Arabidopsis thaliana: one gene and its partner. The protein of the gene in region 2 interacts with the protein of the main gene of each other region in a biochemical or structural test. Each region holds a gene or a part of one and is shown on either strand. Other genes may lie near its edges.

Region 1 (16,798 bases), on a different chromosome or scaffold from region 2:
TGTTTAATGCATTTTATAATAAAGTCAAACTATTTTAAAATCTTTGTTTAAAATAATAGCTTACTTACGTGGCAAGTTGAGGAATTTCAATAAGAAGAGGCACCGCGCGCATGTCTTTTACAATTCCTAGACTGTTTCTCTTTACTCTGTTTTTTTGCTCTGTTTTTTTTGTTTGTTTGTTAATGGCCGAAGACTCTAATTCTTCCGAATCAATCATTGTTAACGTCACCGGAGATGATAATAAGTCGGCTTTGTTCGGTAAGTACGATCTCGGTAAGCTCCTCGGTAGCGGCGCGTTTGCCAAAGTCTACCAAGCGGAGGATCTTCAAAACGGCGGCGAAAGCGTTGCGATCAAAGTCGTACAAAAAAAACGTTTGAAAGACGGTTTAACGGCGCACGTTAAGAGAGAAATATCTGTCATGCGCCGCCTCCGTCATCCTCATATCGTGCTCCTCTCCGAAGTCCTCGCCACAAAGACGAAGATCTACTTCGTCATGGAGCTAGCCAAAGGTGGTGAGCTCTTCTCAAGAGTCACCAGCAACCGTTTCACAGAGAGTCTTAGCCGGAAATATTTCCGGCAATTGATCTCCGCCGTGAGATACTGCCACGCAAGAGGAGTTTTCCACCGTGATTTGAAGCCGGAGAATCTCCTCCTCGACGAGAATCGAGATCTGAAGGTTTCAGACTTCGGTCTCAGTGCGATGAAGGAGCAGATCCACCCCGACGGAATGCTACATACGCTCTGTGGAACTCCGGCTTACGTAGCACCGGAGCTTCTTTTGAAGAAAGGCTACGACGGTTCTAAAGCTGATATTTGGTCATGCGGCGTCGTTTTGTTTCTTCTCAACGCAGGCTACTTGCCGTTTCGTGATCCAAACATCATGGGACTCTACCGGAAAATCCACAAGGCTCAATACAAGTTACCGGATTGGACATCTTCAGATCTGCGGAAACTCCTCCGCCGTCTCTTGGAGCCAAATCCGGAACTGCGAATCACCGTGGAGGAGATTCTAAAGGATCCGTGGTTCAATCATGGAGTAGATCCAAGCGAAATCATCGGAATCCAAGCCGATGATTACGATCTGGAAGAAAACGGTAAAATTCTAAACGCGTTCGATTTGATTTCTTCGGCGTCGAGCTCGAATCTCTCCGGTTTGTTTGGAAATTTCGTGACGCCGGATCATTGCGACCAGTTTGTATCCGATGAGAGTACGGCCGTTATTATGAGGAAGGTCGAGGAAGTTGCGAAGCAGTTAAATTTGAGAATCGCGAAGAAGAAGGAGAGAGCGATAAAGCTTGAAGGTCCACATGGAGTAGCTAATGTCGTCGTTAAAGTTCGCCGGCTAACAAATGAACTAGTGATGGTGGAGATGAAGAACAAGCAAAGAGACGTGGGCTTGGTTTGGGCCGATGCTCTTAGACAAAAGTTACGTCGTTTGATTAACCAACCGGTTTATAAAGTTCCTGACAAACCGTAAAACGGTTTCAACACTAAACCAACAATCCGTGCGTTTTACTTTTAGAATTTTCAACGTACTACACTCGGGATCGAGACGCATTGTGGTTAACCGGTTCGGTTTACATTGGAGCAGGGAGAGTAATGGGACGATCCGCCTCTTTGTATATAAAAATGACAAGAAGAAAGAAAAAAACAAACCGGGATTCAATTATTTTTGTTTATTTATTTTCGGAGTATAATTTAAACACAAAAATTATTTGCTTTATTCATCGGAGAGAATTTGAATAAAACTCTGATTTGAACTTTGTAGCCTTTTATGTGTGACCGTGTGTGTTTGCAAACTTGGGCCTTATTTTGCGCTAAGGGACATGCTACACCGTTTGTAATATTTATCGTTGTTGATTTTGTTTGGCAATCGTACGAAGTATTTCAGGATCTTTTATGTATGAATGTTTATTTGAGTTTGTATTAAAAACATATATATGAATGTTACAGATTAACGAATAGTTGTCACTGCTGATTACCACTTGGCAATTCCGTTAAAACATGATTGGTATATATAACCGTACAAGTCTATAAGATAGATCACAAAATTCTAGCCAAAGCATCAATGTTTTATTTGTTTTGGGGAGTTTGTGGTCCAATGCTAATTTTAGAAATACAAAAACTATAGCTTCCAACGCATACATTTGATTTGACATAGATATATTCAGTAACTTTCTATAACAGAACTAGATAACCTATGTTATTTGGATAGTGGTGTGATCCCATTAAAAAACTTACTATGCAAATTAAATTAGTCGACGTCATAGAAAAAGAGAGAGAGGATTGTTATAAAGCAATATCAGCTGTCGGTAATTACGTGTTAAGTGTATGGTAAGTCTATCGAAGCTATCAGAGATAAGAAATAAGTATACTCTTATGAAATTAGCAAAGTTAAATTGTGTGTTTTGAAAAACAAATGACATTAAAATAAACAAAAAATAAATCTCAAACTCACGTCAAACACACGACCCTACCGTAACTCGACGTGACGCTAACGCCAAGCTCAGAAGATTTAGTGTGGTGGTGGTCAATGCAAATGTTGATAATTGTATCATCACGTTGAACTCTATAAAGTTTTATTTATTTATTTTTCTTTTCGATAAAAAAAAAGGTTGTGAAATGTGAACTCTAATAAGTTCCCAAAGCCATTACAAGTCTCTCACATTAAAACCTTCTTCCTCCATTAAGATCAAAATTGTTGTTATATTTGTTGAGCTAAGAACAAAACAGAAATAACTGTTTTTACAGTTATTGGTCGGACAATAGACTCAAAATGGATTGGATTTGAACTCCGTAGGTAACTTCTCTAGTGGACTCAACAAGTCTTGAATCATCCCCTTATCATTGAAAGCATCTTTAAGATTTTCTTTGCCTTGGTCTTCGTCATTGGTCCAATTAGAATGGGAACTTAAACTGCCTCGAATGATTTGGTACTTCTAATGCACACATCATTGATCTAGACTTATGGAAGTTCTTACTTATGCTCTTCATATTGACAAATGACAACAATCTATTTCCAAGTAATTTCCAATGAACTTGTTTTTTTTTGTTTTTTTTTTGCTAAAAAGAAATAACAAATTTCAGTTTTTATAATGTTTGTTTCCAACTCTTGTTATGTAATAAAGTTAATTAACATTCCTTTATACAGAAAACACAATCTTCCAATGAGAAAAAAAAAACAAATCAACTGTCCATAAATTCTCCAATCAGACTTTGATATAAAGCTTTCCATAAAAAGATTGTGAAGAACAATTCCATTCTTAGCACAAAAGTTATGGAATTGATTAAACATCCCAAATCCTAAAACCATATATTACCATATAGATTAGAAAACATTATCACCATAGAATAGATAAATAGATATAGAAAAATCTCTTAAAAATAATACCAATGAAACACAATGATCCTGACCAATGAGCATGCTTCGCTGTCTAAATGCAAGCCACGATTAACTAACACACATGACACAGAACTGTTAGTCTTAATCACATTGCTTAATGCTTACCAATTACCATAAATCACTCCCGCCACCACGCGTTTTCTTCAATTTAACATATAAAACTCGAAACCTTAATTACGTTTTCCAAAACTAATCAGTTTTTCTTTTCTTCCAAGTTTGTTATTCCTCGTCCCGAATCTTCGCATTAAAAACAGAACCAATTCCGACCAAAGTTTTGAGATCTGTAATATGACGAATCCCGATAACATGAAACCGGTTGAAGCTACTGACGTGGAATCTGCGGCGGAGAAGACGTCGGAGCCGACGCCGGCATCTGGAACGTCGACGATTACTCAGAGATGGAAAAGAGAGGATTTGATAAAGAAAGCATCTCCGATTACGAGAGGAATCTGTCTTTTGTTCTCTCTTATTGCTTTCTTAATTATGGTCTCTAATAAACATGGTTACGGTAGAAACTTCAATGACTACGAAGAGTACAGGTTCGATTTCCGTTTTTTGATACTGGAATTTGAAATTGGGTTTGCGTAATATCGATCAAAGTTTTGAAATTTCTTATATTGCTTCAGATATGTATTGGCGATTTCGATTATTTCAACATTATACACTGCGTGGCAAACATTTGCACATTTCTCAAAAAGGGAAATTTTCGATCGCCGGACTTCTATTTTGGTCGATTTCTCCGGCGACCAGGTAATGCCACAAACTGATTATCAATTCTCAGATTTATATATGTAAAGTTATGATTTTTATGCAAAAAAGTGAAATTTGCAGATTGTGGCGTATTTGCTTATATCAGCTGCATCATCTGCAATTCCATTGACAAACATATTCAGAGAAGGTCAAGATAACATTTTCACTGATTCTGCTGCTTCTGCTATAAGTATGGCTATCTTCGCATTCATTGCTTTAGCTCTCTCTGCTCTCTTCTCCGGTTACAAACTCTCCACTCATTCTTTTATCTGAAGATCTCTTTGCAATAATGTGCTTCAGTAGTTATATACCATTGTGATCTTTGTTATACATGTAAATGTCAATTCTTTTATGTGTTCTTATAGCTGATATCAACTTCTGTTATTTGGGTCTGTCAGACTGTCACTGTGTCTCCCTGTGTCACTGTGTGTGTGTGTGTGTGCTTCTTTGATTCATTATTCAAAGTGAAGAAACTGAAAATTGATTGGTTTTATTCCGTGTTCTAGTTCTATGGTACAAAGTACAAACATTAAACATATTACAGGCGTGTGAAAAAACAAATGAAAAAATTTCTCTATGGACTATAGAAGTCTGACTTACTATCCTGCAGGATAACTAGTAAGTAGTAAAATCCTTTGGTGGCAGAAATGTACAAAAGGAACATAAAAAAGGAACAACTGGTTCCTTTTTTCTTCAGGGCATAAACGAATCGAAAAATGAGGTCTCCTCGTTTGGTTCTTCCTTTGCTCTAGAGAATCCACCACCAACAAAGTTTTGTTGCGTTTGAAGGTTGCTGTTGTTGTTATTGTTGTTCATGGCGTAACCAAAAGGCCCGGTATTAGTGTTGTTGTTGTGCAGCATCTGAAGTGTATATGGTGCTTGAGAAGAAGTAGTGTAGTTGGAGTGACCAGCAATAGCAGCTGGTCTAATCGGGACTGAAGACGAATCCTGTGGTGCTCTGTTTGTGGCGTAACCGCTACCACGAGCTGCAGGAACATCGTGGTTGTGTTTCCCTTCGTAGGTTGTGATTACTGCTCTCATGTCGTGTGATGCTCTCTCCACATGTTTCCTCACTGGACAACCGATGGTTGTGCACTTGTAGTAGCTTCTGTTAAGATTCAGCAAATGAAAAGAAAACAAAAGGTCAGATTCTCAAGAACCTTAATTCTGAGTTATTGAGATGCACAATTGTTTATGTTATTACCTTGGATTTGGGTTTCCCTTAACGACTTTCTGGCCGTATTTTCTCCATCTGTAACCGTCGTCAAGAATGTCAATATCACTCGTTGTCTGCACTACGATTCTCGGCTCTCTCACTGTCTTGCTTCCACCACCATTCCCACCATTTGTTTCATTGTCCCCTTTCCTGAAAACACAAAAAAACATACATTTTAGAACTTTCATATTCAAGATTGTTCAAAGAGTAGCAAATTTGGAGGGTGATGATGATCTGTACCATCTCTTTGCTTCAGGTTCACTCCCACAATCTTCTTCGTCTCTGCTGACAATCGATGAGCCTTGTTCGAACTCATCGTCACCAACAGAATCAGAAGTAGTATTATCCTCTTGTTGCATCCCAAAGGAATCAGACTGATGAAAGCTATTATTGGAATTAGGCTGATCAGAAGAAGCTTGACGATTATGATCCAAACTGGCATTGTACACAGCTGAATGAAAAGTCGAAGAAGACGAAGAAGATCTTCTAGTAGACTGAGGTTTAGGATGGTTGTGGCTTCCTTTATACACAATCTCTGTGATCTGACCTTCCAAAGATCTCTCCACTTTCTTCTTCGTTGGACAATTAGGGAAAGTACACTTATAGTAACTCCGAGGATTCTCACTTCCTTTCACCTGTTTTTGTCCGTACTTTCTCCAATTGTAACCATCCTCTCCTTTCCTTTGCTCTCTTCCATTGTAAGATACAGCTTGATTGTTTGGACGAGTCTCGGTTTGGCTCCATTGTTCTGACTGGTTCTTCTTCTGTTGTTCCTGAAACTCAAAACAAAGTTATAGAAAAACTCATAAACAGAGGATTTGAGCTGTTGATGAAGTACATACCTGAGATTGAAAGATAGAACTGTTTGTTGTTGTTGTAGTTGTAGTTGTAGTTGTAGTTGTGGTCGGAGCAGAAACTCCTGATGATTGTGTGTGGAATGAGAAATCGAATAAGTTAAAGTTGTTGTTGTTGCTCTTGTCTCCTTCATTTATACCTTTCTGGTTAGTTACGTTTGTGATTAAAGCTCCTGTGGTTGGAGAAGCTAGAACCTGCAAAACAATCCCAAGAATTGTTCAGACTTCAAGAAAAGAGACAAATAGCAATAACATAATTAAGAAAGAGTCGAGAGTTGACTCTAAAAGTCTTTCTCTCTCTTTGAAACCGTTGACCCATAACTTTATCACTTCCGATCACGATTCATTGTCAAGATGTTAAATCAATGATACATCAAACACAGATTATCATCACTAATTGGATTCATTTCAAAAGAAACAGAGAAAAAAAACAGAGAGGCTTACGTTAGCAGAGGAGGAGACAAAAGCAGGGGAATCGAGAAAAAGAGAGGGACTGAAACAAGTGGAAGGAGAGACAAGAGAAGGAGAGATAGAGATTGAAGAAGGAGCAAAAGATCTGAACTTTGGTATCTCAAGATCTTCCAAAGAGGAAGTAGATGTTCTTCCGGATTGTTGTGACCAATTAGCAGAACCATTCATGTTTTGTCTGGTTCTGCTATTGTCCATTGTAAGAAAAGAAGCAGCCATACGAAAAATGGAAGTTTGTTTTATAAAAGACCAATTTCAGATATATATAGAAAGGAGGGGGGCTTGGAGAAGAAGAAAATGAGAGAAGTGATGGTTCTTGTTCTTCTTCTTGTTTCTGTATATTTGTTGGTTATGTCTGAATATATAAAACATATTGCACGTCTGATTGGTGAATATTATATTATTTTAAAATTTTGTTTAATTGTTCGTTTTTATTTTTAGGGTCACATATGAAGAAGAGTAGTTTCTGAGAAGGTGATAAAAAGTTTGACCGTTGAAAATATGATTAGAAGAAGAAGGAGAAGAGATAGATTGGTCAGACCTTGTGGCCTTGACTCTCAAACGTTGAACGGATTTTTTGAGGGGCGGCTCAATGCTTTCATCATCTTCATATGTCTCGTTCTGACACGTATGATTTATTCTTTATACGATGTTGTAGTATTTTTGGATCAAAAATACAAATTCAAACATTTGGGATTCTTGGCTCTTGCTCAAAAAACCTAGAAAATTTCGGAATCTTGAAAATTTTGACTGTAGGTGTACTAGGAAAGGTTCTCTCATATCTTTAAAGCACATGACATGAGTGTAAAAGATTAGTATTTAGAAGTGAGTTTGTGAGTATTTTACTATTTTTAGCAAAACCTCCTAACTAAAGTCGATATTAAATCCATGTGCGGCTGTTTTTGGTTTCAATCTATTTTTTAGGAGACTTAATTCTACTATGAATAGACTAATTGAACACAAGATTATTCATTTAAAGAATACTAGAAACAAATATTTATTAGAATGTTAAATTCTATGATTATCAAACTATTTTGTATCCGTATCGGTTTTGATATAGAGATAGGCTACAAATTGACCCTAGATAACATTTTGTAGCTTCCGATCAATAAATTGGTATAACTTCTGTCGAAGGTAGGCCTTTTTTTTTTGTATATATGTATTTGAAGTAGCCATAAATGTAATAAGAGAATTACATATTGTGTATATATGTATTTGAAGTAGCCATAAATGTTCTTATTGAGATGTCAGGATGTTTGTCTTCCATCACTGCTACCACGTCTGGCCCTCTTCTTTGGTAGTCGTCTCTGTTTTGTACATAAAACCTTACTCAGTTTGTTGTTTCCTTAACTAGTCTTGTAATATTTGTTATTTGCTTTTTTTATCTAGACGTCCTTGTTTTATATAAACAGTCTATGTACGTTGTATTGTACAATGTTTAATATCAATAACAACACCCTTTGGCAAAAAAAAAAAAATTACATATCGTGTCAAGCATAGTAGTGTAAATTGTAAATCGTTTAGGTATATAAAAGTGATCAGTTTCTTATTGCACGATATGTGGTATGGTTCTTCACGTGGAACCTAAATTAAACGTCATGGATTTTGTGTCGCTTTACCGTGCAAGTTGCAAACTATGCAGTGTTTGTTGATCCGATGACAGTTTCTTTCTTCAGCCCAAAAGCCCAAAAGGCCCAAAGTAAAATAGCCTCTTGCTTTAATACACGTCGGTATCTCTACAGCTAACACGTAAAACAGACGTGGCAAGAGTTGCTTCCAGAATCATTAATAGTTAAAAAAAATCATCATTGGCACAAGAAAGTGAGATATTTCCTAGTCTTGCTTTCAAGTTTCAAGCAATCTATCTATCTCGAAAAAGCAGCGATGCAAGACGCCGAGACATCACGACAGCCGGCGAAGTCTTTGTCCGATCGAGTGAAGACTAACTGTTTATCCATGGCAGTAACATGCCAGGAAGGGTTTAGCTATGTCAAAGCCTTTTTTGTTGGCCAGGTGCGTATACAAGAGTCTTGTTTCGAGCCACTGAAACAAGCGGATCAGAGACTCATGGGTCTTCTTGAATCAATGATCACTTGACGTATTTGGTGTCTCGTTAATTTCCTTATTGATTAGTTTCATTTTGTTATAATCTTTTATTTTTATTTTGGTTTGGAAGACAAAGAGATTGACGGCAAAGAACGAGAAGGAAGCTACGGAGGCTCATCTAACGGAGACAAAAATGCAAGTTGACGCAACCGATGAAGCAGAGAATGCCAAGAAGAGACTTCATCAATCTTCTTAATGTTTCTTTATTAACATATAATAATGGAGTGTGTACTTTATTAAGCAAACACAAATATCTGGGAGTTTTCAACTGTTTCTACTACTAATGATGAATGTTATTTCAGTATTGATTTTTAATACAGAATTCTATTCCCAAAAGATAAAATGGAAAATTTTCATTGTTATTATAGAACTACATAAAAGTGAGTTCATACAAAACAGAGTGAATTCATACAAAAAACGGAGGAAAGTTGTCTTTAACACATCACAAAATTGTCACTGAAAGTTGTCTTTAACACATCACAAAATTGTCACTGACCTATTTTGTGGGTGTTTTCTTTTGACTATATCTTTGACCTATTTAACCAATCATTTAAGCCATTTGATTCATTTTTGGCTGCTTTATGGTCATGTCATAAAACCACCCCATTTCTAGTTATCCATGTCGGAGAAATCGTGGCACATTCCACAACATTATGAATTACACGTTTCCACGAGAAGGGAGCAACTTGAATATACATTTGTTCAACAAAGGAATCTTCTCAAGATGAAAAATATGGTTTCTTATGCGGTAGAGGTGAATTGTATAGAGCATTCCTGCCAACGATACTGTGGAGAATGAGATCAACGTCAATATCCAAAAATCCTGAAATAAAAAAGTCCATAAATATTATGACCTTGATTGTATGAAAACGTAAATTTTGCATTTGATGGATAAAAAGAGTCATTATCTATATATGGATCCTTAGAATATAAACTGGAATTTATTTACCTTTGGATTGGAGACAATGATACCTAAAAGATATGCCATCAAGTCAAGAGCCGATTGCAGTGAGTTCTGAACACCTCCAACCACACAACGGTCGGATTCTGAAACAAGATCCTAACACATGACCAAAAACATTACGAAACGTTCTTATTATAAGTCTTTAAAGAATACGTGTGCTGTAACTATATAAGCTAAAGAAATGTAAACATACCTGCATTTGTTGGATGACGGCAAGATCAAACATCCACAAGCCAAGCCTTGAAGCAGCAACTCCAGCCATTAGCATGTAAGATGCTATTTTATCCTTTTTAACCCAAATCGATCCAACGCAGACCAAAAGGCAGCTCCACTGTATGAACAACAACCCTACTTTTATGACTCTTTTGTTTTACTCGAGTTCCATAACATGGTCAAGTACATATATGATACACTTAATATCTAGTGAAGAATGAGAAAAAGACTTGTTATAACCTGTAACCAATCAGATGAATCAAACCATAGGTGTGTTTTCAAGTTGATATACCTGAGACCAGAAGGACCAGAGGCCGGTTCTCAGAGTTGAGAGACGCGATTGCATTAGCGGATACACTAATGTAGCCGCTAGTCCAACCGTTGCACTTATTCCCCTGCCTATACCGATGATATATGTAGGTATACCTTCCCACTGCAATGTAGCCGTCATCAATGTTCCAAAGCTGTGTCAAGGTGGTAAATAAAACAACAATGATCCACATAATCGGTAGGATATGCATGTTCATCTGAGGACTCTTAAACATATAGATAAAGAGAAAAGGAACCTGAGGACGGTGAAGAACAAGAGAGCTAGAGAAACCCCGGGGAGGACAACTTCTTGATTGAAATAAATTCTCCATGCGCCAACAAAAGAGGACTTGGACATTCTATCCAGTATCACCAAGATTCCGGTTCTAGACGGAGGGTTTCCAGTATAACCCTCCTCTGTTCCCGGAACAATAGAAACAGAAACAGGTGCATCTCTTCCTTCTACTTGCTTTGTCCGGGAACGCAAGATCCGTCTCTCATTGCTTCGTGTTATTGCAGGAACACCGCTATACACAGAAATGAAGAGCCAATATTCAACCCAAGCTGTTATAGTAGCCCAAGCTGCAAAAGTGATCGCTGAAGCCTTAAGTGAGACAAAACTGATGATCAGACCAGTAATGACTGGAGACAGTAGCTTGGAGCTCAAATCAATGCCTCTAATGACAGAATTCATTTTTGTCAATACTGCTGGTGGATGACCTTCAGACATAACCACAGCCCTGTTGGTTGCCAAAAGAGCCAAAAGAAATACATGTTGCAAATATGACACTATACATAAGATTGCATTCATGTGTTGCAAATATATACAGTCTAGACATTTACCAGTCTCGTTCGATCAGAATGGTGCCAGCAAGAGTCGAAAGAACTCCAATGGCGCCAGCAAGATTCGTTAACACAATCAAGATTGCAAACACCGGGAGATTCCGGGACTTAAGATCAGAAACTAGCAACAACTTGATGACTGCACCACCAGCAATAGTGTAGGAGAGGTTCTGGAACAGGAGCCAGAGTCTAAGAACTTTAACGTAGTCCATTCCCTCGACCCATTGCCCCACAATGGGACCAAAGATTGCAGTAGAACCAGATTCTATAGCACCATAAATGGCAGCGAGAAGCAGAGAGTTTGGCCACAAGTGGATCATATACAATGCAACAGAGAATTCCCATGTTCTGCATCACAAAACCAAGAAAAGAAAGTAGTCCATCATCTTCAAAACGTCTAACACTAATACACTATGAATAAAGTTTTATATCTTCATACAATAAAAAAAAAAAAAAGAGTTTCAAAATAATTGGAGATAAAGGATTGATGGAAACCTACCTGGCACTCCATCTTGCAAGAAAATATCCAACGTAAAGATATATCACGAAACGACGTCGTAAGGCTGGTGGTGGGTTTTGTGGCTGTGATTCATCTTCTCCTTCTTCGCGTTGTTGTTCTTCCTGATGAACAACCCTCAATTCTGTCTCATTCTCCATTTTCTGCTGGAAAGTCTCGAATTTAACATCGATCAAGCGATTAGGTGTTGATTACGTATTGAATTCCAAATGAAACATGACATCTGTAGATATTTCTACAGTCATCATTTGCATGAGCGTTTTAGTGTGTGACAACAAAGCCGTCCTCGAGAATTGCGATAAATATGAACTGCCATATTAACAATAGTTTATCCTGAAAACAAAAAACGATGATTCTAGGAATAAATGAGAAACAAAAACCTTATTTTAGCGCCGCAGAAATAGCTTTGTTGATCGAATGATGGAAAAAGAATCGACGAAACTCAGTATTACTTTGTTCTAGAGTGGTCCTATTAATATTGGTGATTCTATTTCCAAAGGGATGAAAATTTGTTAGTGGAGCAAAAAACAGATTCCCACTAGGCACTGGGAATATTTATGGTTTTGTGTGCAAAATGACTATGATACAATTACATTATTTTATGGTTTTTAGATTTTAAGATTGGTTTAAGAAAACAAGCCAGTCTTTCCAATGCCTATTCTAAGTCATCGGAGAAATTATAAGTTCGTTGTTATACAAATCACTTATCGAACGAAATGGATCTAAGTAGTATAAATGGATGTTCTTCTTCTGAACTTTTTTTTACCCCGCTGATATTGTTTACTTTGGAGTTTGGAACATAGAAAAAGTAACAAAACAATACGAGTACCTTTTTTAACTCCTTTTCATTGCTAGAATAATCATACACTGTGAGCAAAGGCATTCACCAAAATTTAAACAAAATAAAAAAAGAAGACATATTTGAGTAATAGAGCTACAAAATGATTAGCAAGCATCAAAAGATATGCGCAGAGAGAAGATATTGTTCATTGTTGGAACTTGGATCATCCAAGATTGAAACAAAACAGAACAAACACAAGCTCTCTCGATCAGGACATGCTAATCAGACTCTGAATCTGAATCACTTGCGTTGTAACCTGAGAAATCACAAAAAAAACAAATTCATATCCAAAAGCAAAAAAGAACCAATTTGTTGATAAACCAATTTTGACATGTAATAAAACAAAGACCTGGTCGTTTATCTATCACTTTCCACACTGAAGAACGAACTCTTGATGCTTTCGTAATCCAAAGTCTCCCCTAATCATTAATAAAACACAGAATCAAATTCAAAAACCTAAAAAAGAAGAAACTTGCAAATCAATCTAATCAAATTAGAGAATTTTCAAATCAACCAAACTAAAAAAACCTAAAACTTGGAAAAGAAGAGATTGAAAGGGAGGGAATAAAGACGAAACCTTTCTAGCATCCTTAGGGACTCCATACCCAGAGTAATACATCTGACCTAACAAAACCTGCATAGTGATGTTCCCAGCTTTAGCTTCCTCAAGAGTGTCTTTAAACCACCGCTTCGCACAATCAGAAACCACCGATGAAAGCGGAACGAAACGTCGTGTAGTTTCGCTGGTGGTGGTGGTGGATGATGAATCTTTGTCGGAACTGTCCATGGAGGAAATGGGTCGGATCGGTTTTGAGGATTTGATGAATCCAGCTACTGCTGCGGAAGCTCCTCTTAGCCCTGTTTTGACGGGAATCGATTTTCCCATTTTTAATTTATAAACATAAAAATAAATAAAAGGAAAAAATCGGTTTTCTTCTCAATCTCTTGTTTGGTTTTGGTTTGGTCTCATTGTATAAAATAATATTAAAATATCTTATGGGCCTAGCTCTTAAGCCCACTAGAATTTTTTTATTTTTTTCCCTAGCCCACTAGAAATTAAGACTAGCTCCTTGCTATTTCATAACGGTTACTGAATAAAGAGCTCTGTCTATATAAAGGCCATCATAAATTCTTCACAATTGCATTCTTTCGCTCTCGTCTCCTTGTTTTTTTTAGTAGCATGAGTTCGTCTAAGGTTTTGAGTTCAGACACTATAACGGTAATCAAGAATGATATCTCAGGATTTTTCACTCTCATATAGTTTCTTTTAGCCCTAACGTCTCAGGTGTGAACCCGGTCGAGGCTGTTGCTTATGGTGGTGCTGTTCCGGGTGGTATTTTGCGCGGACGATGTGGTCTGATCCCGATAATCAAGTATTCAGACAGGATACAGGTGGTGCCAGCCGAGAATAGAGATCAAGTATTAAGTAGGCTTCCAACTGATTTACATATGAGGATTGAGGATTGCCATACTTCCAATCCTCCTTCTCGATCCAACTACTCTATTTGGGTTCAAATTGAAACTCAGTTATGCCTGCAAATGATTTTTGTGAAGATCATCCTATTGGTACTAAGCAAGCAAACCATCATATCATTTCAGTCCTCTAGAAACCAAATATTACCTTTGAAGTGTGTGCAGTGCACTAACTAGCTGATTCTCATAGATATTCGTTATCCAAATGACCAAATATACAGTCAAAGGACACTGCAAATGATTGAGAACACACAATACATATCTATGTATGTATTCAAATACACATACATAGCCTACTAAAAGAATGTTCTATGAGCTAAAAAAAAGAACGAAACATTCCTACACACAAATTTCCGTAAAACTACTGCAAATTTCGGAATCTACTTACATTACAACATACACACACCTATAAAACAGTACACAATATACATACATACATATATAAATAACCAATGACTGTATGTATTTAATGTTATATGTCTGAAATAGAGATTGTATAACCTACCTGACTCCAAGTGCTTGCGCACTCATCATGATACAAGAACGAACACCACGGAAAAGCCAACGATCATCGATTTCAAGAATCACTCCAACTATCTGAATCTTCATCCTCGTCGCTTCCAGCCATTGCCTGCACCAGTGTTCAACCGGTTTTAGATGTGTGTGCGATAGAGAAAAAGTGATATTTTATTTGGTCTATGATCAGGCTTATAATTCATTGTTTCCACTTAAGAGACTGCTTCGGATCCAATCTAAGACATAATGTGAGACTAAACTCCTCAGATTTTCATGTCAAATTGAAATGCTTTGACATGAAGCCTCTACGATTAGCAAGGACCACAGAAAAAGGTGAAAAAACTTGAAAACATTTACTATCTTTGAAGGAGATGGAAAGAGAGTAACGAACCATGCGTATTGTATTTGCTTTCTCTAAGATTGCAGCTACCCTTAAGTCTGTTCTAGGACCAGTCTGGATGCTGGGTCGTGTTGTTACTGCCGGCTTTAGATTGACGGACTGCATAAACAAAACACAACTCATAAAATTCCAAATACAAAATTCTGTTCACAGGACCATCTGGGATTTTACATGATCAACATGTGCTACCTTGTTTCGTATTTGTGCAAGCAACGAATCTTTGTCATCTTGCTTTGATTTGATTGGTGGATGGACCATCTCAGAGACTTTCTTCATCTGGCAAATCATCAGAACAAGTGATTAGAGACATAATCTTAGCAAAGGCATGGTATTGCAGACAAGATGAAATTTTGTACCTTGCGTCTGTCATGAGCTGCAACAGCATCGACAAGCGGACTTCTTGGCCTAGGAAGCCTAACCGTAGGGACCACTTCTGTCTTATATGTGTCCAAGGTAGGTGCCACAGAGAAACAGCTAACAGGCCACATAGCATCTCCCACTGAAACAGGATTTATCTTCTGAACTGACGTGTTTGATGATTCTGCAGTTTCTGCATTTGAAGCATCAGGAACCGAATGACCCTTATCTTCTACCTTTGTTGATTGAGTTGGCGTCAGGGATTTGGTTTCAGGACAATGGTGATCATCGCTTGAACTTTGAGATTCATGCACATCAGCATCGTCCTTGAAATCTTCGTGTTTAACCTGAGGCAGCTGCAATGACGACGCTTGAGAGTAAACGAGCTCGTGGTTCTGAGCTGCATGGTCAGCCAAAAGATTGTTCTCCTCAGAACCAAAATCCTCTATGCACTCCTGATAAGGTATTGTAGGGAGCTCAGAACTGTCGTATTGACTATTCAAATCAGTGCTCATGGTTGGGAACTGAATGGATGATTGCAATGGCTTTTCTGATGCATTGTGAACAAACCCTCCAGGAAGTCGTTCTGATTCGTCACTTCCTAAAGATACAGATAGCTCTGATGGTGGAGACCCAATTTGAACATTCAAGCTAGAACCAATGGGTGGTGCCGCTGATAAAGCAGAACTACTGGTTTCGACTGATTCCCCCATGAAGGTAGGAAAAGAATGTGGAACCTTTCCAATAAGCCATTGCATAGGAGGAAGGGGTGGCATGTCCTCTGGATTGGGCGGAATAGTCTCAGGGATAAAACCAAAGCTAGGAAAAGTAGGATCCAGATTCAACTCTTGCTTAGGTCTGTTCAATTCTATACCTGCAGATTGTGGTGCAAATTCTAAGCCTGCTGATTGTGGTTCAAACTCTAAGCCCCTGAAAACATTTGACTGCAGCAATTCCTCATCTGCAACTTCATGGCTTGCATAAGATGTTTGCTCTCTAACTGCCTGGTCGATAGCCTCACTCTCTAAAAGGTTCAGATTATACACTTGTGTGGAATCTATGCAATTATCATCAAGAATGCTCTCACCAGGAGATTTGGTTTCTGTGTCCCTGTTCCTTTGATCCAGAGATGGCTTGGGACTTGTAGATTCAATACTTTCTACGTCCTTGTTGTCTGGTTCAGTACTCAGACCTTCTGAAGACACTTCCAGAGGGCTTTTATGCATTTTTATTTCCGACTCTGGATTATTGTCTTCCAGTAGTGTCCCGTCAGACTCTACAACTGTATCATGGAAAATCTCTCCAGCATCAGAAGACGATTGATAAGTATTGGTCGAAATCCAAGGCAGAGAACCCTTCCCACGAGTCGATGACAGACTAACGGCATGATTAACACCACCACTGGAAGTGTCATTGTCATTATCAGACACATCAAGCTCAACGTTCGGGACAATGTCTGTGGTTGCGTTGTCCAGCCCTGAAAGGTCATGAAAACCTTCATGAGAGATATGGTCATCGCATTTGCTACAAGTAGGTGAAGCATCTCCCGCCAATTTCTCTACTCCCG
Region 2 (14,989 bases):
TCTCATTCTATTTTTAGTTTAAATCTCGCGGTAAACAAATATAGTCATCGACCATGACACCATGTGAATTAACTATTAACTAATTACATGAAACAAAATAAGTTTTAAAGTTGCAGTTTCTATGAGATTGATATGTATTATCAATGACAAAATAGGACGTACGTAAAATCTTCTTTTTCGTTAGTATATTTCTTTTGTTTATTAGAATTACATGTTCCCTCGATTAGAAATACATTAGTTGCAAAAAAAGAGAATATTAAAGCTCCCAAAACTATCCTTAGTTCCTTGCATATGAGGACAAATGAAAATTATTGTCCACCAACAACCATAATGGATGGATCAGATGATGAGTGAGGTAAAATTATTAAAAGGTGAGATAATTGGCGTAGATGTTTTTCCGATTTGGCATAATTGCTAATTGTAGACAATGATGCACGTTGGCATCATTATAGTTTTATTTCCTTTCGGTGCAATTTACCCTATTATCAATTATATGCTCACGAGTTAATATATACATACTCTGATACTCAATTCATTTACCTGCCATAAGAATGATTATAAACAACAAATACAACGAGAAGAAATTTTTTTTTGATTACCATTCATTTCACTTAAATACACGTACGTGCTATATCGGCAAGTGCTAGCTAGATCGATGTCTATTAAAAGGTTGATACGATTTTACACTCTTTTTAACGGCTATTAGTTATGATCTTACCCGTTTAATAATGCTAAACCTAATTGAAAGTTGACCTAATAATAAGAAACTTAATTATTGTCCCAACATATTCAAAATAAATGATTCACGAGTCAGCAAAGCATTTCATCCTACTCCTACCTCTCACCTCTGAAAATTGAAATATTTTCAACACTTAAGTTTGATTTTACTATTAGGCCAACAACTTTCGGTCATCACCTTATGCTTTTCATCTACGGTTCAAAAAATTCAAATTTATTTTTATTTTCTTCTATTCAAAGTAAGAAACTATACGTCTATACGTACTATTAATGGATCGAAGGAGATACGATTAACCTTTTTTCTGAAAAAGAGCAACAAACTAATTGTACGTGAAAAAAGTAAAACTAATCATCTAAACTTATGTATTATTAAATGCAAAGCACCACCTTGTTTTAGCATCTAAACATATGTATTATATATATTAAAAATGGCACAACCGTGAGCAACTAAAGCAATGATTAATAAATAAATCAAGACCAATCTCAAATCCATTGAACTTGAATTATAATTAATACAACCCCCTAATTTGTTATGAGCCAGTTATACATCTTCTTCATTAGACAATAAGACAGTCCAACCATAATACATATATACATTATACTTTTCAGACAGCTAAAATGTTATGTATCTTCGAATACTTTAATAATTGTATATACGTTATTGCTCATCACAAAAAAAAGTCTAATTTATCTAACAAACATTATACTCAACAGAAGATGACAATCCGAAAAAGAAAAAAAACGCTTTTACTTTTCCCCCGAATCAAACACCTTCGCTCGAATAATAAAATTATCAAACACTCTTTCTCCTTAGTGGAAGCCACAACACAATTTATTTATCAACAACATTAGACATAAACTATCCAAAACATAAATGTCATCAAAATATTATTCGGCCATGGACCAATATCATCTTTGTATATCTGTACCACATTTGCTGACTCAGAGTTTGTTTTAAGTAACACAAATATTATAACATTGCTTTTGTAATCATTTGTTTTTAAATTTCATTCATAAAAAAAGTACTAAAAACAGGACATTATATGGACCAAACCCATGTGCTCTCGACGAGACCAAAATAGGCCACTCGTGCAGAGAACATGTCCCACCACTCCCACACGCTTCTGGCCTCCAAACTCACACGTGTAAGCAAGCATAAATAAAAGATCGTCACCGTTGGTCAAAGTCCTCCCATCAACAACACATCTTAACGGTTACGACTTGACCCAATCCCCTGACTCTGAAACGTTCTTTGATTTTTGACCCATGACCAGAATTTTTGTTGATTCTTTAAAATTTCTGACTTGTCATCAACATTAACATCTTTAATACACTACTACTATAGTATATAGTATAATCTTGCTACGGTGACGCAAGCGTGCGTTTGACTCTCTCTTAAAATCCCACCTCCACTCACTTTCTCTCTTCACCTTTCACTTAGCATCATCTTCACTTTCCCGCATTTTCTCTGCCCAGATTTTCTCTGATTCTTTTGTTGTTTTTTTCTGATGGGGAGAGATGAAACAGAGACGTACATTACAGTGCCAAGTTTCTTCAAATGTCCGATATCTCTTGACGTGATGAGATCTCCGGTTAGTCTCTGTACCGGCGTGACTTATGATCGAGCCAGTATCCAGAGATGGCTCGATGGTGGTAACAACACTTGTCCCGCTACTATGCAACTTCTCAAAACTAAAGATTTTGTTCCTAACCTCACTCTTCAACGTCTTATCAATATCTGGTCTGATTCAATCGGCCGTCGTCACAACGGTGATTCTCCGGTTCTGAATCCGCCGTCTGGTAGAGAAGTTCCGACGAAGGAAGAAGTGAATGTGTTGTTGGAGAGATTGATGAGTCTGGAGAATTTGATGAAGATCGTTCGATTCGTGAAGGATTCGGATTCGAACAGAGAGTTTCTCTCGAAGAAGATGGAGTTCGTACCAATGCTCGTTGATATTATACGCACGAAGAAGACGAAGATCGAGTTAGTTATAATGGCGATTAGGATTTTGGATTCGATTAAAGTAGATCGTGAACGGTTATCGAATCTGATGTTGGCGAATGACGGCGGAGATTGTTTAACGGCGATTCTCTTAGCGATTCAACGCGGGAATCTGGAATCGAAGATCGAATCGGTTCGGGTTTTGGATTGGATCTCCTTCGACGCTAAATCAAAGCTTATGATAGCAGAACGTGACGGAGTTTTAACAGAGATGATGAAATCGATAAGTATCACTGAGTCGTCAGATCCGAGTTTGATCGAAGCGAGTTTATCGTTTCTAATCACAATCTCCAAATCAAAACGAGTGAGATCGAAACTAATCGCTGCAAAAGCAATCACGAAGATCAAAGACATTCTTCTGACGGAGACGTTAACAAACGTTGCCGTGACGGAGAAGTCGTTGAAGCTGTTAGAGACTTTATCGTCAAAGCGAGAAGGGAGATTGGAGATTTGTGGAGACGACAATGGTAGATGTGTGGAAGGAGTGGTGAAGAAGCTCTTGAAAGTATCGACGACGGCGACGGAACACGCCGTGACGATTTTGTGGTGTTTGTGTTATGTTTTCAGGGAAGATAAGACGGTGGAAGAGACGGTGGAGAGAAGTAACGGAGTTACGAAGCTGTTAGTGGTGATACAGAGCAATTGTTCGGCGATGGTTAGACAAATGGCGAAAGATTTGATTAAAGTGTTGAAGTTTAATTCCTCTGCTTTGGCTGCTTACGAGACCAAGACTACTCATATTATGCCTTTTTGATTTTTTAGTAGTACATTATGAATAAATATGATATAAGTAAATCTTATTATCAAACTATTTTGAACGTATAGATGTTGTAAATCTTATGAGAAATTTTGTCAGTTTTACTAATATTTGCCTCGTGTTAATTGAGAATTATACGATTTAATTACTCATAGCAACAATTTGATACATTAATAGTTTACACGATTTAGAGCCAAATATATCATTTTCTTTCAAATTTGTAGCTTGTGTCACACAATTATACAACTTGTGTGTGTTCAAAAACATTATTTTGAAACAGTAAAGAAGGTTTAAAGATGGATATGCACTTAAAATATTCGCAATTTGAATCATTCGGCATAATTTCAAACATTTAGTTTATAAAAATATTTGAATAAAACAAAATCAATAGTTAAAAGAATGATTTTGTAAGTTTAGATGGTGGGGAAAGGCATCGAGTGACTATTATCTGATTAATTTGATTAAGGCTATAAATTAAAACTCTCTAGTGTGACTAGATAGATACTTTTGGTTCAAAAGAATTCAAATGACAGCTTCGTAAGTGTGTACTAGATTAAGTTAAAGTATGGTTCACTGAATCTGACTAAAAGTTTTATTACTATGAGTTAAATGGATGGTTATGCAATTTTGCTTATTACTGAACCAAAATATAGGAATAAGGTTCTTCCCTTTGGATTGAAGTGACAAACGAAAACTGGTCTCTAATGTCTAAATTATCTTGTAAACTAGTACCTTTTAACAAATTTACTTTTCTTTCTTGTTAGAGGACGTTGCAACATTTCATGGTCATGCCTCTCTCACACCCACCCGCTTTTTTATATTCTATCCTTTGTTCGAATTTTGATTTGAATGGTACTTGTTTCAACATTTGATTTGCAACGGAAAATATTATCTTTTTGAATAGTAGGAATCTATACACGTAAGTTTTCAGATTGAATGAATTTTTTATATATTATATACGATATAATAAATATAAACTGATTGAGGAACAATAAAGATTGTTTTAGTAAAACAATTAAAATTATCTGAGTTGATATTATAGAAGGTTTCAGAATCCATAATCTTTTGTCTTATTTAACTTTATAACTTAATTAAAAAAAAAATGAAATTTATTTTGGAGGATAATTTAATAGAGTATCAAAAACATATGGATATTAATATCATCTACAACTTATTTTAATTTTTAATATATCCATATGTTTTTGATACCCTATTAAATTATCCTCCAAAATAAATTTCATTTTTTTTATTTTAATATCTCTGCCAGTTATGTTACTTCTTTTACAAGAACATCACATTTGGTGTCACCATTTTTTTCTACGACAATGCCTACTTCCTACACATCCTTCTCTGCTCAACCCACAAATAACAACTGGTTTTTGTTGTTCAACATCTTCTTCTCTTCCCTTCTTGTTATTGCTCTCCGATTTTTCGATCAAGATGTCTCAGATCGCTACAGTTACAAGGTATCCAAAGTTACCACATAAACTCTATACAACAACCCTAAATTCCTCTGAATTGCGAGTAAAGTTCTATGTTTTTTTGTTTGCAGTTCATGTTTCTATACCAAGGAGTTCAAAATCTCCTCTGTATCTTGAAGAGAATCGTCCGATAGATGTTTAATGAAGTCTTTACCGCGCTCGCCATTTTTTATCTCTGCAAGGAATCTCTAAAACACCTGCTTTATAACTTGAATGTCAAATCCACATGCCGAGGAGAAATCCTCAGCAGGACAATGGTTTGAAGTTTTTAGAGAATGCATTCCTTGTGAAAAAACAAATTGGATTAAAGTTTAAGAACATCAAAACTAACATGAAAGGTGAGATTTTTTTGTTAAATACTTTCAGATGCTACTTTTTCTATGTTGTTTTTGTAATAACTTTTTCAACTTCCTTTTCTTAATCTTTTAGAGAAGGCAGTCCTTGTGGAAAATGAAATCGGATTAAAGTTTAAGAACATCAAATTTGAAGTGAAAGGTGAACTTTTTTTGTTTGTTTGTTAGTTTCATATCCAAATTTTGGTAGTTTGAAAACAAAAGTTCCAACTTTTCATAGTCACGTTCATATCTACATCTATAATAACTGTTAGTAGTTTCAAATGCAACGTTTTGCTCTGTTTTATTTTGGAACCATGACAATAGAAATTGTTTCGTTTGCATGTATAACCAGACACTAGTAAACATTCTCTAGAAACTATGCAAAACACTAAACAACTCAATGACTATGAATATGTTAGAATTTTTAAAACTTAGCTTTCTTCATACCAAAATTGTAAATACAAAGCCATTGAGTCTACCTTCGACCTGTAGTGTTTGGTGGATGTGGTTCAGCAAGGCGAGGAGTACCCATGTCCGTCGTTGCCAGCCCTCCCTGATACTAAGGCATCGTCAAATTCGGACCTCGATATGGCGCCGAACCACGAGTACCAAGTGTCTGTCAATTCCCCCACACTACTCAACGACAGTACTGGAGAGGTTTCTAAAGGACCATGTTGGAGTCATCTTCTATGAGTAGTTTATCTTTTTAAATTAGTAGCTTTCAAACAATCCTAAATTTGTAGTTTTTAAACTAAATAAAAATTTAAAAAATATATCTATAGTTATTAATTTAGGGAATAAGTTGAAAATAAGTCACTTTTTCAAAATAAATTTATAAAAGTATTCACTTTACTATTATAATATACAAAGTAGTCATTTTTCGTACACATAAATTTATACAATACATTCAATATACAAAGTATATATATTTATATATATATACTAAAAGTATTGTACATATGTAAGTATACGAAAAATGATTACTTTACAATTATAAATAATAAAATGACTACTTTTAAAATTATGTTTTAAAAAGTAACTACTTTCTCAATACACTCTTATTTTATTCGAATTGTTTGAAAATATTATTACACTCGAAAGTTTCAAACTTTGATCAGCTATTTTCTTGGACCAAACTAGAATTGATATGGGCTTTGGATAAACAAATGAAAGCCTGTTAGCAACCATCCTCATAATATATGTTCATTGTTATCATTATCTATATATGGAAAAATTATTAGACTAGTAATATTTTTATGTAGAAATGTTTTTAACCAAAGCCAGTTTATTTTTCTTTTATCAGGTAACTTAATAAAATCATTTATGTTTCAACGAGGACTAGTATGTTTATGTAGATCTTATTTGGTCATAGGTTCAATTTCGTCTTCTTTTTTTGCTGACAAAAGACAACTAAATATCTGATTTCTATGGGTAGATACTTAATTACTTAGTCTTCTAAGTATATATATTTAACTCACCCTATACAATATACATGTTTTTGTTTTTTTTAACAACTCATATGATAGGTCTTAATTAGGTTTGTTACTTCTATGCATGCAGACGTTAATAGCTTAGCTAGGTACTAAGAAAGAAAGAAATTGATTGTTACCATAATTTGCAACTTCTAGAACTTGTAAAACTTAAATAGAACTATCACTAATAATTGTATGTTAATGATTGACAACATTACTAATATATATAACTGTGTGCCGTTGATAATGTTGATTCCTAAGATCTTTCCTACTAATTAATTATCTAACATTAAGACAAGAATGGAAGTTTCCTAATTAAGCATGTGCTGTAACAATTTGGTTGGAGACACAAAAAGTCAACATTTTTTAAAGTCAAACTAATCGTTCTGATGACTTTTTATTTCTTTCTCTTTTTTGTTGTTTTGGTCAATTTTCTCAGTCGCCAAAACATTCAATTCCCAAACCAAACAGAGCAGAAGAACAACAAGTTTTGATTCTAAAAAAGGAAGCTTCCCAAGTATGGATCCGTCGGAGTATTTTGCCGGCGGCAATCCTTCCGATCAACAGAACCAGAAGCGGCAGCTTCAGATCTGTGGTCCTCGTCCTTCACCTCTTAGTGTTCACAAAGACTCTCACAAAATCAAGAAACCTCCAAAACACCCTGCGCCGCCGCCAAATCGTGACCAACCGCCGCCGTATATTCCTAGAGAGCCGGTGGTTATCTACGCCGTATCCCCCAAGGTTGTACACGCAACCGCGTCTGAGTTCATGAACGTAGTCCAGCGACTCACAGGGATCTCCTCTGGTGTTTTCCTCGAATCTGGCGGCGGTGGAGATGTTTCACCGGCGGCGAGGCTAGCGTCCACGGAAAATGCTAGTCCAAGAGGAGGAAAAGAACCGGCTGCGAGAGATGAGACGGTGGAAATCAACACGGCTATGGAAGAAGCAGCTGAATTTGGTGGTTATGCTCCGGGAATACTCTCGCCATCTCCGGCCTTGTTGCCAACAGCTTCTACCGGGATATTCTCTCCGATGTATCATCAAGGTGGGATGTTTTCGCCGGCTATACCACTGGGATTATTCTCGCCGGCGGGATTTATGAGCCCGTTTCGAAGTCCTGGCTTTACTAGTTTGGTAGCTTCACCAACTTTTGCTGATTTCTTTAGTCATATTTGGGATCAAGATTAGATTTTTTTTTGGTGTTTTGCTCTGTAATTTTTTTGTATTATGTATTTTGACATATCCAATGTAGTAGCCCAAAGGGTTTAAAATGAGCTTCATGTATAAAAAGATTAACTTTCAAAAATTTCAGACAGATTCCTAGAATGTAAAACTTGTCTGCAAACTAATATATACAGGAGTTACAAGATTCTCCTGACCTAAGATACTCTAATAAGTTTTGTGTTTTGAGAATAGGCTTCTTCATGAGGTTGTTGTAACAATGGAGTTCCAAGTTCCTCCTATCAATGTACCAACTCTCTCTCCTTTGATTGCTTTGGCGATGTTCCCAGGTTCCGAAAGATTGAATACCACAACTGCAAATTGACACAGAACTAAATAAGCATTCTTGTTGTATTTTAGATGATCATGTATGCATGTGGTCAAGGTTTGAGAGAGTGTTATAGAAAACAAGCCTGGGATGTTATTTTCTTGGCACAAAGTGATAGCAGTCATATCCATTACAGAGAGGTCCTTTGAGGTGACCTCTTGGTAAGTTAGTGAGTCAAGCAGACGAGCGTTTGGGTTTCTTTTAGGATCATCGTCGAACACGCCATCAACATTTGTTGCTTTCAGCACTACTTCTGCATTAACTGTGTCCAATGCGAAAAGTTTTTTTTTAGTGTTGCGAATAATCATTGGAGAAAACTTAAACGGAAACCACCTCTTTACTTACTTTCAGCACATCGAAGAGCCGCTGCAGTATCGGTGGTGAAAAATGGATTGCCTGTTCCAGCTGCAAATATTACAACCCTTCCTTTTTCTAGATGTCTGATTGCTCGTCTTCTTATGTAAGGCTCTGCGACTTCCGACATGCGGAAAGCAGTTTGAACACGGGTTGGGATGCCAATACTCTCCATTGTCGCTTGAAGAAATATTGCATTCATCACAGTTGCCAGCATCCTATCCAATTTCAGATAAACCAATGAGACCAAAAACCTCCAGTAGAGGAAAATTCTGGATCTTCTCCGAGTAAGAAGAAGAAGATCCTTTGACACAAAGGCGTATGATTACCCGATATAATCAGCAGAGGAGCGATCAAGGCCACTGCACCCAGCCCAGGTAGATCCACGAAAGATATTTCCTCCTCCAACAACTATAGCAACCTATTGTAAAGGCGTAAGAAGATCAGACAGAGCACACACAACATTGCAATGATTCTTAATGACCCAGACACATGATCTGTTGCCGTATAGTATGTTTAAATCATAACAAATTTCTAACTTTAAGTTGTGTAATGCCATATATCTCCACCCCTTAACTTAAGCTCCCGTTTCTTGTAAGTTTGAGCTAATTGATTTCCAGCATATTTGGTTACATCTACACAGGCAATTATCAAATACTTCGGGTATTATACTTATGTATAGGAAGAACTCAAAGCTGAATACATATCCACTAAAAAATTTTGAATCCAATTATCACAATGACAACTAGAACAAGAATGTTTGAATGAAGCGTTTAGAGAATAACCTCAATGCCAAGTCGAGTCACTGCTGCAACTTCCCTTGCAATCGCCATAGTAACCTAATTAACGGGAAACTGGATGAGACTTCTGAAGTAAGGAAACAGAGAACAAAGAAAGCAAAACAAGGAGGGTTCTTTTGGTATCACAATAAACCTTTGGGTCGATATTTTGCTCCTCGTCTCCAGCAAGAGCTTCTCCACTGACTTTGAGTAAAACCCTTCTCCATTTAAGCGGTGGTTTGGATGTTCCATCAAAGGAAGGCAGTCGTGGGAAAGATGATTGCCCGTTTAAGCTACTGAAAATTACAGATGATCGCAACAGAGTATTAACAAAATCAGCCAAAGTTCCAAACATTATAAATGGGTTAAGTTTTACTTCAACCAAAACAATAAAATCAGATTTGCAATATATTTTAATAAACTCTTAAACCCTAAACCCAGAAGTATCTTCATTGACAAATTTTCACAAACATCTGGTGGGCGTAAAGATTAAAACTTGAAGATTAATAATACCTCCCGTTCCCGTTCCCGTTTCCGTTCATGGAGTCTGGAGATGAACCATTGTCTGAGGACAAAGAAGAAGAGCAGCTGATAAGTACACGCCTACTGTAATTCTGGTTGGAGAAGAAAGTACGATTGCGAAGTGTAAGAGGGACGAAGGAGGTTCGGGAAATAGACGAAGAAGTTGAGATTGGGGAGCAAGAGGTAAGAGGCAACGGAATTGCCATTGCCGGAGAGATCTAAGAAGAGATTATTTACTGAAATATTCAGTAGAGAAGTGTCGCCGGCAAAGACGGGTTTTAAGTCTGAGAAGATAAGGTCTGGTTTCAATGTAATTTACTAATTAATCAAATGAATTGTTGTGATATTTAATGTGTATATATATATATATATATATATATATATATTTGAATTATATCCCCAATAATTCACTATATTTAATCTTATCTTATCATACAAAAACGAATAACTTTCATTAAATTCTGAATATATTTAGAAAATTTTGATATATGTCAAAATGTCTTTTAGAGTTTTAACATACGTTATACATATACTTCTATAAAAAATGTAATTTTTAATCAAATTTAATTGAACACCAATTTTAGTGCACTACATATAACAAATAGCTACAAATAGATAGATATTTTCTTATATCTAAATAATTCACACTATTTTATGTGTACTTATTATTGACCAATGGTTTTTTTTCTTTTTTTATAACAATTGATTAATAGGTTTGAAATAACTACATTTGCATCCTACAAGAGAAGTGAAGAACCACAAAGCATTCTTATTTTCGTTTCAATGACTTGAAAAATATGAGTTTTCTTACCAAGTTCAAGTTTTAAAAGTTTACTAATTGCAAATTTACAAGTAACATTGTTTTTGAAGAGTGAAACTAAATTCTTTGCTTTGCAACGACGTAAATTTTTGTAACACTAAAGCTCGATCTTTTAAATATTCCCGGGAAAAGTAAAAGTAACAAACACATATAAGAAGAAAAAAACACTGATAATGATCTTGAAATCTTTCATGGTATGAATAGTCAAGGATTATTCGTATTACAGTTTATTATAATGTTTAATTACTTGAATCCTTGTCTCTTTTCTTTGTCCTTGAAACCTTGCTTCAAAGATAAGCCACCACAACTCTTTTAACACTTTACTCATGTGCCTCTGTTCGAATAACGGAAAGATATGTTTTCTTTTACAGAAAAATTATAAAAGAACAATTTTACACTTAAACAAACACATACCACCACGTTTCTTGCGGGAGAAGCAACCGACAAATGGATACCGAGAAAGGTTATCCCAGAGGTTTCAGAGCAGAGAGTCTACGACCAGAAACGGGCCCCAGAAGCTTTCGGTTTGATAGTATGCAGATCGATGAAGCAGCCGATCTACAAAAAGACGAGATACGACAAGAGAACTCGACCTATCTTGTCCTCTTCAAGAACATAGACAGTGGAGAGTTGGAAGCCACGAAAGACTTCTTGGACCGAAACCCTGAAGCTTTAACCGCAATCTTAACCTCTAATGGAGACACTCCAATCCATAAAGCTGTTTTGTCGGGTCACATCAAGATCGTGGAAGAGATCATTAGAAGAATTCATGATCCAGAGCAAGTGTTAAAGATCAAGAACGATAATGGTTATACAGCGCTTACTTATGCTGCCACTGGTGGAATTGTAAGAATTGCAGAGTGTTTGGTGAATAAGTGTCCTGGTTTGGTCAGTGTTCGGAATGCGAAAGAGCATATACCGATCGTGGTGGCTTCATTGTACGGTCACAAACATTTGGTTCAGTATCTTTACAGTCACACACCTCTCAGTGATCTTGATCCTTGTGATGATTCAGATGAACACAAGGGCAAGAACGGAGCGATGCTCGTGACAAATTGTATTGTCGATGGATTATATTGTAAGTTCTTAACTAATGATTTATAAATGTTCGTGTATTATCATTACTTGTTCATGAGATTTGGCTAATGTGGCGCATGTACATAAAGGTATTGCTTTGGATCTGATTCAGAGGTATCCTAAGTTGGCTTATACTCGAGACAGTGATAACGATACAGCGATCATGGCGCTTGCTCAAACACCTTATGCGTTTCCTAGCGGTACCCGTCTTGCATTTTGGCAACGGTGGATATATTCTTGTGGGTATACTTACCTTATGCTTTAAAATAGATATAACGTTTTTTGTTATTAGGAAGTTTGATTTTATTAGGCTTTAATTTTGTTGATGGTTTTTCTCTTGAAGGTATTCACATAGAGAAGATTAATAACCCTCATGAAGTTAATAATCACCATCACCACCATCAATATAGGAATTCGCAGGATCATAATTCGATTCAAGAGAAGTTGATGAAACACCTCAAATATCTTTGTAAGCAGTAATTACCATCCCAAATTGTTACCCCCTCATTGTTTTTGTTTTTATCAATCTTAGATTAAACTTTCTATTGACAGTTCCACGCATAATTAGACGTGTATACAAACTAAAGCTAGGACATGCTCAAGCTAAAGAAATACTAGACTGTATCTGTCAAGAGATACCTAAATTTGACGCGGCTCAACAAAAGAACGCTGGTCTAAACCAAGCTCTCTTTAAGGCGGTAGAGAATGGAATCGTAGAGTATATCGAGGAAATGATGAGGCATTATCCTGATATCGTATGGTCCAAAAATAGTAGTGGTCTTAACATCTTCTTCTACGCGGTAAGCCAGAGACAAGAAAAGATCTTTAGCCTCATTTACAATATAGGTGCTAAGAAGAACATCCTCGCTACAAATTGGGACATATTCCATAACAATATGCTTCATCACGCCGCGTATAGAGCCCCAGCCTCAAGGCTTAATCTCATTCCTGGTGCAGCTCTTCAGATGCAAAGGGAACTACAATGGTTTAAGGTGATACATAGTTGTATATATGATCTTGCTACACAAGAAATTAGGCAATAACTGTTTCTGTGAAAAGGAACCTAGGATTATAACTCTGTATTATTTCCAGGAAGTGGAGAAGTTAGTGCAACCGAAGCATCGAAAAATGGTTAACTTGAAGCAGAAGAAAACTCCAAAGGCTCTGTTTACAGACCAACACAAGGATCTCGTGGAGCAAGGAGAGAAATGGATGAAAGAAACAGCAACTTCTTGCACAGTCGTTGCCGCTCTAATCACCACAATGATGTTTTCCTCCGCCTTTACTGTCCCCGGAGGTTACCGTTCAGACGGCATGCCACTCTACATCCACCAGCACAGATTTAAGATATTCCTCATCTCCGACGCTATCTCTCTTTTCACCTCATGTATGTCTCTCCTCATGTTCCTCGGCATTCTCAAGTCTCGCTACCGTGAAGAGGATTTTCTTCGATCACTTCCGACAAAACTGATCGTGGGTCTTTTGGCTTTGTTTCTTTCGATGGCGACGATGATTGTGACTTTTGTCGTGACGCTCATGACTCTGGTTGGAGAGAAAATCTCGTGGGTTTCGGCTCAATTTATGTTTCTTGCGGTGATTCCGCTGGGGATGTTCGTTGTCCTTCAGTTTCCGGTGTTACTTGAGATCTTCCGCGCCACTTATTGTCCTAACGTTTTTGATAAACCTCGGCGAGTGTTTAAGCTTTGATCGAGACTCGAGAGGAATAATGTTGGTGATCAAACTAATGATGGTCTTCCACTTCACTTGTAATTCTTCCTACAAACATATGAAAAAGCCTTATGAGTAGTAGGTTCGAGCCTTCAAAATCAGAGTTTAATTGTGTTCTAGCATTAATATATACTTCTGATTTTTGTTTTTAGTAAATAATGATGATTATACATTATTTACCAGTTTCCTTTTATAATTCTCTCTTCCATATGCAACCACTATATAATAGATTTTTTTAATAAAAAAAAATTATCTACTAGAGCAATTCCCATACGTACTTGTTTACGAAAAAGGTACTAACTGGCTCACTAAAATTAACGTTGATATTTCGATGAACCATTTTTTTTCGATTCAAAAACATATATTGCTATATTCGTGCATGTGTTTTTAAATATCTAGACTTAAACTACAATTGTTAGAACTTTGATCTAAGTTATTGGTTTGCAAACTACTACTGTAAGGATACTTTGAACTTTTTAGTGTTAGTTTGATATTGTTTCTATGTAACAAAATTTCTTCACCTATTATATATGTATATGTTTATTTTGTTGGAGTTTCATAAGTCTAAAGTAAAATATTCAGGGGAAAAAAAAAACTATTTGGTGAAAGTGTTTGTCCTTGGAAAGGAAAGATGTACAAGATACGAAAATACCTTTGCTTCGCTTTGCTTCCAATACACTGCCATTTGTCAACAACATGCTCAATCGAAAATTCGAACGTACGTAAATGTGTATGTGGGTGAAGATTATTACGGCCCGAACATAACTCATGTTCAGTATTGGGATTTTTATTTCTAGACTAATACTAAATATTTCGAATAATAATTGTGATCAATAATATATTTTGAATCATACGTAGCGATGGTTGCAAGGGTCTTATCAGAAGCAAAGTTGGTCTCTAGAGTCCCCACCTTCTCCTATGTGCAATTTAGCTACTCCTTCAGTCCTCTGATTGACACATGTTCCCACCTGTCTTTGTTTTTCCAAGTCTTAATGAAGCTTAGAAGTTAATTAATTAAATCATTTTAACCTTGCACCATCTCTCGGATCTTATTAATTATGCATATTATTATTCCTTCATCTAAACCATATAATATTTCCTCACATATACGAGTTTCTTTTACTTTATTAGATTCTGAATTATTATCAAAATTAAGAAAATTAAGTAAAATAAAAAATGTGAACATTTAATATTTTGTTGAATTTTGTAATCTGGATCATATGCTCAAATGTACATAACCCATTTTCTTTATAAAAAAAAGTCAAAAACTAATATTTCGAATAATCAATAAATAAATACAAATTCAAAACACAAGTTTGGTGGAAGCAGTTCTTGAAAAGACCTCCGAACTTTGCAAATTGCAAGCGAAGTTTGA

What was found.
Region 1: the proteins of MKS1 (region 2) and WRKY33 form a complex in vitro, tested with the Arabidopsis thaliana proteins (one study listed by BioGRID).

Annotation. Positions count from the first base shown.
Region 1 is NC_003071.7:16,098,589-16,115,386, reverse strand, and holds WRKY33 (WRKY DNA-binding protein 33), read right to left. Parts: upstream 7,153-16,798; 5' UTR 6,912-7,152; coding exon 6,669-6,911; exon of another isoform or gene 6,420-6,668; coding exon 6,213-6,419; intron 6,144-6,212; coding exon 5,611-6,143; intron 5,521-5,610; coding exon 5,359-5,520; intron 5,263-5,358; coding exon 4,848-5,262; 3' UTR 4,621-4,847; downstream 1-4,620. Other genes in the region: CIPK22 (CBL-interacting Serine/Threonine-kinase), read left to right, coding at 183-1,478; AT2G38480 (Uncharacterized protein family (UPF0497)), read left to right, coding at 3,693-3,943, 4,031-4,154, 4,236-4,427; AT2G38465 (uncharacterized protein), read left to right, coding at 8,577-8,705, 8,869-8,994; IREG1 (iron regulated 1), read right to left, coding at 9,457-9,621, 9,748-9,858, 9,956-10,093, 10,268-10,439, 10,542-11,024, 11,128-11,475, 11,627-11,784; AT2G38450 (Sel1 repeat protein), read right to left, coding at 12,704-12,741, 12,835-12,904, 13,063-13,371; SCAR2 (SCAR homolog 2), read right to left, coding at 14,536-14,589, 14,866-14,973, 15,064-15,150, 15,231-16,798.
Region 2 is NC_003074.8:6,422,739-6,437,727, reverse strand, and holds MKS1 (MAP kinase substrate 1), read left to right. Parts: upstream 1-7,213; 5' UTR 7,214-7,304; coding exon 7,305-7,973; 3' UTR 7,974-8,194; downstream 8,195-14,989. Other genes in the region: PUB29 (plant U-box 29), read left to right, coding at 2,247-3,494; AT3G18700 (uncharacterized protein), read left to right, coding at 4,823-4,963, 5,050-5,103, 5,229-5,316, 5,408-5,473, 5,831-6,006; AT3G18680 (Amino acid kinase family protein), read right to left, coding at 8,208-8,596, 8,680-8,906, 9,018-9,109, 9,474-9,527, 9,622-9,763, 9,981-10,195; AT3G18670 (Ankyrin repeat family protein), read left to right, coding at 11,257-11,887, 11,976-12,125, 12,230-12,355, 12,439-12,878, 12,979-13,593. UniProt on the Arabidopsis thaliana protein: Regulator of plant defense response. May contribute to MPK4-regulated defense activation by coupling the kinase to specific WRKY transcription factors.